2 linked regions of the Nothobranchius furzeri genome follow. The protein of the gene in region 1 binds, or shares a complex with, the protein of each later gene. Links are inferred from orthologs where the notes say so. Each region holds a gene or a part of one and is shown on either strand. Other genes may lie near its edges. The genes, in order: ndufaf1 and tmem186.

Evidence for each region.
Region 2: ndufaf1 (region 1) and tmem186 share a complex: the UniProt entries of both Homo sapiens proteins name them as parts of the mitochondrial complex. The link is inferred for Nothobranchius furzeri from reciprocal best matches to the Homo sapiens genes NDUFAF1 and TMEM186.

Annotation. Positions count from the first base shown.
Region 1 is NC_091758.1:19,029,262-19,033,639, reverse strand, and holds ndufaf1 (complex I intermediate-associated protein 30, mitochondrial), read right to left. Parts: upstream 2,857-4,378; 5' UTR 2,655-2,856; intron 2,248-2,654; 5' UTR 2,231-2,247; coding exon 1,721-2,230; intron 1,638-1,720; coding exon 1,452-1,637; intron 1,389-1,451; coding exon 1,314-1,388; intron 1,168-1,313; coding exon 1,027-1,167; 3' UTR 716-1,026; downstream 1-715. Other genes in the region: nusap1 (nucleolar and spindle-associated protein 1), read left to right, coding at 31-141, 213-318, 397-484; RNA polymerase-associated protein RTF1 homolog, read left to right, coding at 3,266-3,349. UniProt on the Homo sapiens protein: As part of the MCIA complex, involved in the assembly of the mitochondrial complex I.
Region 2 is NC_091744.1:5,453,094-5,456,611, reverse strand, and holds tmem186 (transmembrane protein 186), read left to right. Parts: upstream 1-1,533; 5' UTR 1,534-1,796; coding exon 1,797-1,799; intron 1,800-2,078; coding exon 2,079-2,744; 3' UTR 2,745-2,890; downstream 2,891-3,518. Other genes in the region: gde1 (glycerophosphodiester phosphodiesterase 1), read right to left, coding at 1-155, 812-1,081. UniProt on the Homo sapiens protein: As part of the MCIA complex, required for efficient assembly of the mitochondrial complex I.

The sequences.
Region 1 (4,378 bases):
TCTAACCAATCTGGTTTGTCTCCATTAAAGAACTGTTTGTTTTTACTGGTGACGTCTCAACCACACCCGGAACACAAAAGAAGCCGACCTTTGATCTGAAGGCCAGTCTGTCGCGTCCGCTCAACTACAAACCCCACAAAGGTGCGGAACTGTCCTCAAAGACCGTAAGTTGTGTTGTTCTGAGACACTGATGCTTCCTTCCTTTTTTGCAGGCAAACTGAAGCCATTTGGAGATGCTAAAGAAAATGCATCTGCAAACAAATCTCTGATCTCCAATTCGCGTCAGGAAAGTTACAAACAACACAAGGTGCAGTCCAGGTGAGCCTGAGAGAAATTCTCATCACAACAATCTGCCTGTAAAGCGCCTCCTGAGGCTGATCCGTGTCGTGTTTACAGGGACGACCGGAGGGCAATACTAGCAGAGGACCGGAAGCAGAAGAAAACAAAACTGCTCGGAGCGAGGAGAGGCCTGGTCATGGAATAGAAACGCTTTTGCATTTTTCTCAAGCTTCCTGTTCTCATGTAAATAATTTAGACATCCGTGCTCTCCTGAGCCAGTTGTAAGAACATGGATTCAGTCTGCTTTACTCAGCTTGTAGATTTGTTTGTTTATAATAATCATTTTTATCCTTTTGTAGTAAAAACTTTTACTTATTGTTTTCCATTTTGAGATGAATATTTGGATTAAAATGGTGACCTAAAAGATTTGTTGTGCTTTAATAAAATGTCTCTTGAATGCTTTTATTATTGCTTTTACAATAAAACAACAAAAAACTCTCACATGGAAATCACTTTGCTGTTTTACTGAGAGAAGTCATTTAAACTAAACGGGAAAATTAAGAAGCAGCAAGAGTGTCTGTTTAACTTGTAAAAGATCAACAGCAACAACCGTTTGATCCCCTTAACCGATTTGTGTTTTAAAATTGACCAGAAATGCAAAAAAAAAAAAAAGTGAAGACGAGGAATTTCCACACATCTGTATTTAATTGGCTGCTTAACGGTTTAAACGCTGCGTTGTGGTGGCCCCTAAGCTGTTGGGTTCCTCTTGTACATCTCGTAAGCGAAGTCCTCTGTGTGAGCGTAATCTTTGCAGACGCCAATAAAATCAATCTCAAGCTGAAAAGGGCCGTCTGCTTTGTCTCCCAGGGTGAACCCGATGGTATTAATCTGAAAATATAAGCCAAAGTCTAAATAAATCTCAGAAAGACAATTATATTCAATATGCCAGCTGCAGGTCATGGTACATGAAGTACAGTTCTCGTGTGTGTCCGTTATTTTCTTGTCTTTGGTATTTTGTTGTGATTTTATGATACCTTGTCCAGCCACAGAGGATGCTGTTGGTCGTGTATCCTCCCTCGATGTGTGATGAAGAACTTGGAGAAGGGTATCTGCCAAAAATAAAAAGTGTTAGTGAGTTAATCAGTCTAGGGCTTAAAAGTGCATCAGCTCACCTTTACATCTTGCCAGTAAGGTCCTCCTCTGGTGAACAGGAAGTAGGTGTAAAGGTCGTCTTTTTGATGAGAGAAATAATTTTCAGTTGCGATATTAATCATCCACGGGCGGCCGTCACCACGGATCCGCAGGTGCAGGGTGTTAAAACTGGACCAGTCAAAGTGCTTTTTTCTGTCAAAGGATGCCTAGAAGAGACAAAAAGTTTAGAGTGAATTTAAAAGTCCAGAGGTATTCATCAATGGCAGAAAAATCTACGGCGAGCGCTGACCAGAGGCTGCTTTGAGCGCATGGTGCAGTATCCGCTGTAGCGCGTTTCTCCATCTTTCGGAGGAGCAGAATTGAGGGTCCCATACAGAAAACACGTGTCGTTCCTTCCAAGCTTTAGGTAAACTTCACTTTGACCTCCAATCTCTTTATCGCAAGAAACCGTCCACCCCGCCAGGCTCTCGGGGCCTCTGAATTCCCATACCACCCGGTTTTGCTCCTTCATGTGCTCCAGGATTGGTTTGCCCTCTGGACCAATCAAAGGGTCAGTGAGCTCTTGTTTCAGCAGTTTGAAGTGCTTCTTTATACCCTCCACACCCTTCCAAAAGTCAAAGTCGATCTTCTGCCACGGGAGCCTGTCATCTCTCGTTTTGCCAGGCCGCCGATATCCACTCTGGCTCAAAGTTCTTCTGGGAACAGATGGAGGAGCGATGGAGCAAAGGAGCAGATGTGGGTTATGGATAGAGCTCAGCAACCTCAACGGCGGGAGATGGGAAACTTTTGGGAGAGACATCTTCAACCTGGTGACTACTGGGATGGATCACACAGGAAATGGTTCCATTAATATTGAGTTATACAGGTGACAATAGAATATGACTAGCAAGATGTAAATACAGCAATCTTAGTGTTTTAATGAGCTCTTTCAAAGAAAATGTGTTTTATGTGGCAGAACATAAGTTACATTTGCATAAGATTATCTGATATAATCACGTGTATGTATTTTTTAAATTACATATTTACCCTGCTTATATCTGAATTTATTCCAAAGCATAGCTTGAAAATAATGGACATTTCTGTTTAACTTTCAAATAAAATGTTTACATTTGTTTCTAACAGTTGTTATAATTGCAATCTAAATTTTAGAAAAATACATAAATTTTGCTCCAGATGTTCCTGACAGAATTTTTTTGTACAGCAAATAATTCGTTCATACTTACGTTTGTCAACGTTGTTTTTCGCCGGGTACGTAAGAGGGTCGTAAACTTTATACAGTTTAATATTATCGCCTTAAAACAATAATACAACACTGTTATGAAACTCTGACGACCTGAAATCTGCTCTTTTCCTCGTATTCACAGATCCAAGGTTGTTTGTGGTCCAAGCATGAAGCTGAGCGGAAACTCCTGAGCTGCGTTCAACCTACAGTCAACCATTATGGTTAAAAAGGTGCAAAAATTCGAGGCGGACCGGGACAGCTGCTGTAGTCTTCTTGAACGCAGCTTTGGTCTGGTGCACCACCAATTTGTATCCTGACAAAAGCACTCGGCGCAGACTTATGGTTCCTATCTAGCTGAATCTTTTTGTTTCATTGCTGGATTACTTCAGTAATTTAAGCTGTATGGACAAGAAGTGAATATAATTAAAGATAAACTATCGCATGATTGTTTTAGGTGTATTTAGAGAATCTATTTCATGTTGTGACGCCAGTGCGCGCATGCTCGGTATTGTCTTTGTATGGCGAGAACCAAGCAGCTAAGTAGCATCGGCAGCTAATCCCAACCATTAAACGACACAGGGGTAGCTAGTAGGGTTAGCTCTGCGGCTAATCATGGTGAACGTCAAGAAGCGGAAAGGTCGAGTCGTGATTGATTCCGACTCTGAAGACAGCGCCAGTGATGATAACTTGGATGAGGTAGAGTGGCATTTTTCAAATTTATTATTTACTAGTGACTCTTTAAGTTGTCAGTAGTTTTATGGTGTAGCTAGCGGATGCTAATTGGTTGCGCTGTGTTTGGCCTCGCTGAAAGACTGAAAGTGGCCCAGTATTATTTTCCTTTAAAAGTAAACACCTTATTAACATGCTACGTCTTCCCCCAGGGTGTTTCTGCATTGCATTCAGCTAAGCGGGGCCTTCTATAGAATGTTTCCGCTGCTAGGTTGCTTTACGAGATGTGCCTAATGCTAGCAATCATGCAATGTTATGTTATGAAAATACCGCGCCATGGGCCTCCTAATGGTTTCCAGTCACTAGCTGCAGGGCTTTGATGGTGCTATGTTGGGGTATGTTTTGCTCAGTGACAGACTTTACCATGGTGAGACTTGTTAGCGCAGACAATGCGGTTCTAGAGCCGCATTTGATTTCAGCTCGAACCGTATGTGAACGACGTCATGACCTCGGAGCTGAAGTTCTATTTTGGTGTTGTTGATAAACAAGTGCTGGAGGTAAAACATGTCGCTTTGAGACAAGCTCCTGGAACAACCCGGCTTGTCCTGAGCAGAAGCAGAGATAACAGAACCGGAGCGCGTTAGGTCACATAAACCGGGTTAGTGTAGAAGCCGTGACTATAAACAAGTCTGGAAGTTTACTGGGGAACTTTTTAAATGACTGATAAAAAGGTATTTTTAACCGCAGATGAAACCTGATTGATGTAAAGAGCAATTAGAGTTGTTTATGTAATTGTTTTCTGCTGATTTTTAACTAAATCATCAATATATTATTAGTCGTTGAGTGCTTTTCATTTCTATATGGTAGTACAAATAAAATGCAAGTGTTATAATTGTGCCATCTCTTCATATCGAGTTGCTGTATATTTGATTGGCCTAGTTTTATTCCCCAATGTGCATGTAGTTGTGATCAATTACCATGAATAAAAAGCAGAATTTGACTATGCCACAGACAGATAAACGGTGTATTAATCAGAATCAGAAGTTTTTATTGCCA
Region 2 (3,518 bases), on another chromosome or scaffold:
GCATCCAGCTTCCTGAGCTCTGAAAATTTGATCTGGCTGAGACGTCCCGACCCATTGGTGGTCCGATCCACAGTCTCATCGTGCATCAGTATTGGGACCCCATCAGCGGAGAACTCCAGGTCTAACTCCACACCAGTTGCACCATTCTTACTGGCCTGCAGGTAAAAGCATTGGAGAACCAAGTCACCGTGAGCCAAAAAAGTAGATGCATTAAAATATCACATTATAAACATTTTGACGTGTGTCGTACACACTTTGGTTTAGTTCATTTGAAAATAAGCACGTTTAGATTTCAATCTCCTTAAATGGTTAGATAGTGCAAATGTAACCTGGGAGAGCTGTATCACACTGTGTGTGTGTGTGTGAGTGTGTGTAAATTGTGTGGGTGCAGCACTGGGCCGATTGGGGGAAGCTCAAGTCATCGTCACTACCTTCATACATGTTGGTTTGGTGAAGACAATTCAACTTCCCCCTGGATTTGAACTGGTCTCCCTGCCCTGTTTTGTAGGCACAACCTGCACAGACCGAGCTTTTATTTGGACTTTTAGCTTTTGCAATCTTTAATAAATTATCTATTTTTGAAGCGATCCGATTCTGTGCTTCATTGCCCACATTAATGCTGGTTGGTCAGACTCACTTCATGTAACATCTTGGGGGCTGATCTGCGGGTGTTACACAAATGTGTATTAAAGTGGAGGTATTACATTTTTAATCAATGACTAACTAAATCTCGCCATTAGAAGAAACAGCCGCTCTAGGTCGTGTGAAGGTTAACGGTTTAACGTCTTCCCTCCCCAGTGTCCCTTCTCACCTCCCGTATGGCTGCTATTGTGTTCTCCGGTGCGTCGTGTCCTCCGCCCCGGTGAGCGATCACAGACACCTTACCGCTGCCCACTGCACGGGAGTCTGGATGCAACACCTGCCGGGCTCGGCTGGTCGTCACCTGCGGGAACCGAAACATGGCTAGAAAGAAGTAGAGGGAAGCGGTGAGGACAGCCGACCACACCGGACTCCGCGTCCCCAGCAGGACCACCACGAGGACAAGTGAGTAGAGGGTGACTTCATCTCCCAGCTGAAGCATTGTAGACGACTTCTTGGGTTCACGAGCGCAGATTTTCTTCAGTTTGACATTTTCTTTCCTGTTAAGCTATTTTTCTTGGTTAAAAACGCGATGTTTCACACACATCCATGCTCCGTGTTATATTCTGACAGCAGCTATTAAGTGGAGCATTAAACCACATCTAAGCCGGAGAAAGCTAGAAACTGCTAGGACGGTTGAGCCGCTGAACGACCAAACGGGAGGACAACATTTCAGGTGGCACGTCGTAACGGCTGTGACCGGATGTTACGTAAAACAGGCGCGACCTTTGTCAAAGTAAACCAATAAAACTAACTCGTTATTTCACGAATCACACATTCAATGACATTTATTCTTCTACACTAAAACAACTGTAAATCCCACTTTGCTGGAGAACATATCTCGGAGGCTTGAAATATATTTCATTAAGTGGGGAAAACATTTTTCGACGGACCGAAACACATCTCGGCGCATCCCCGGATGTGGTTCTAAATAGGTTCGCTACATGCCGTTTGCAGCTCTTATTCAGTGTGAACAATTTCATACATTTTTTAAATTAAAATGTATACTTTACTAATGTTTCTAATGTGAGGAGAGTAAACGAGATCTTTAGGAACACACGGTTGTAACATCCGGGTCACAAAGCTGGACGTCTTCATGCCAAAAGTGGACTTGGGACTATTTTTGACTTTACCTGTGAATTAACCAGTCGTTGGCCATGGTGAGCATCATAGTGAGACTATTAATATTACTGTTATTACAGTGTTATCAAATTCAAAGGAATTGGTGGATCAAATAGATCAAACAATCCTACCCGCGAAATGCCCTTGAGCTTGATTTGATTCAGCTAGGAGATTAATTTGACCTCATTCTGAATAAGGGTTAACAGTTTTAATGTAAAACAGATCGAGACTTTATTCTGCTGTTAATATTTGGCTCAATTAGGTGACTGCATATTGCCTGACTGAATGTCGTATTTAATGTTTTTTTTCCCCCACAGATCAGGTCGATGTTGCTGAGCAGATTAACCCACCACACCCTGTCCTGCACAAGAGGATCATGTTTACTCTCTGGACGAGTGTCTAATGGTTTACAGTCTCATTTTTCAGGTCATACACCCATCCATCAGACCTCCCATGGACCCCTCACTCCTAAAATCACAACCTCCGTCAGATACTCAGACCTATCCACGCAGAAATTCTCTATGATTTACACGCTGCCACACATTAAGCTTCTCAGAGTCGTGTCCAGGCTCAAACTGCTCCAAACTGCAATCACTGCGGTCATCATTCCACCCATGTATTTCCTTTACTTCCAGGGTGACGTGTCCTTCTTTCTAGTATGCTACTCTACGGGGATTGCACTGTTTGCTGGTGTCATGCTGTATACTATGAGTCACTTCTTTAGAAGGGTTGTGGGGATGATGTACCTGGATCCATCCCAGACCACACTCAAAGTTTCTCACCTCACTTTTTGGGGCAAGCGTCAAGACACCTACCTACCCGTGTCAGACGTTTTGACCATCTGGGACACAGGAGACATGGAGAATGAGACCATACTGAAACTGAAGAGATACAGTAGTCCAGAGACAATGTATTTTTCTACTTATTACGGACGCGTTGTTGACAAGCAGGGCTTTGAGAGAGTGTTTGGGAGGCTAAAATAATTCTTCATTCAAAATGTGATCAACTAAATCACTGCTTTCAAGTATTGTAATAAGATCCAACAAATATACAAAAATATCCTGTTTTGAAATAAATGATTCAATTTCAATGTTTTCATTTCTTGATTTAAATAAATGTGACTAATGAGTGTCTGACTCTAGCCTCTTTACCTGGCCAGGTGAGTCGGACAGGTAAATGTTTTGATGTGTTTAATATCTGATGGCTCTGCAGAGTGGATCTATTCCCTTTACTGTTGATCTTATTGGTCCATTAGAGGTCTGAATGTGGTCATAAAACCCCCCTGGAGTTTTAGAGGAATCCTGCAGTTGAGTTTTCTTCCAACCTGATCATCCTGCATGGAAATGTGACTATTGATAAATTTTATTTGGAAAATCTATAATTTTTTGGGTTTCTTAATAGAATTCTATATGTTACAGATAAAAAAACTAATATTGTGAAGCAGACTGATTATGGTCTCGTACACAAGTTATAAAAAATTTAAGTTGACAAATTACAAATATCAGAGACACTGCAGTGAGGCATTTTCAATTAAAACATTTTCAGCTATTTGTAACATACATCTTTAGACAAAAACATCTAATCAGTTCTTCCAATAAACATTCAAATAATTACAAGATAAAATCCATGCATTTGAGTTTCCTGTATAGGAAATTTTCTCCAAACTCATCAGAAACACTTTTCCATTGCAACTCAGTCAAAAAAATAAAGCAAAATTATGCTGCAGATTTAAAATGCACTGGTAATAAGCTTTTATC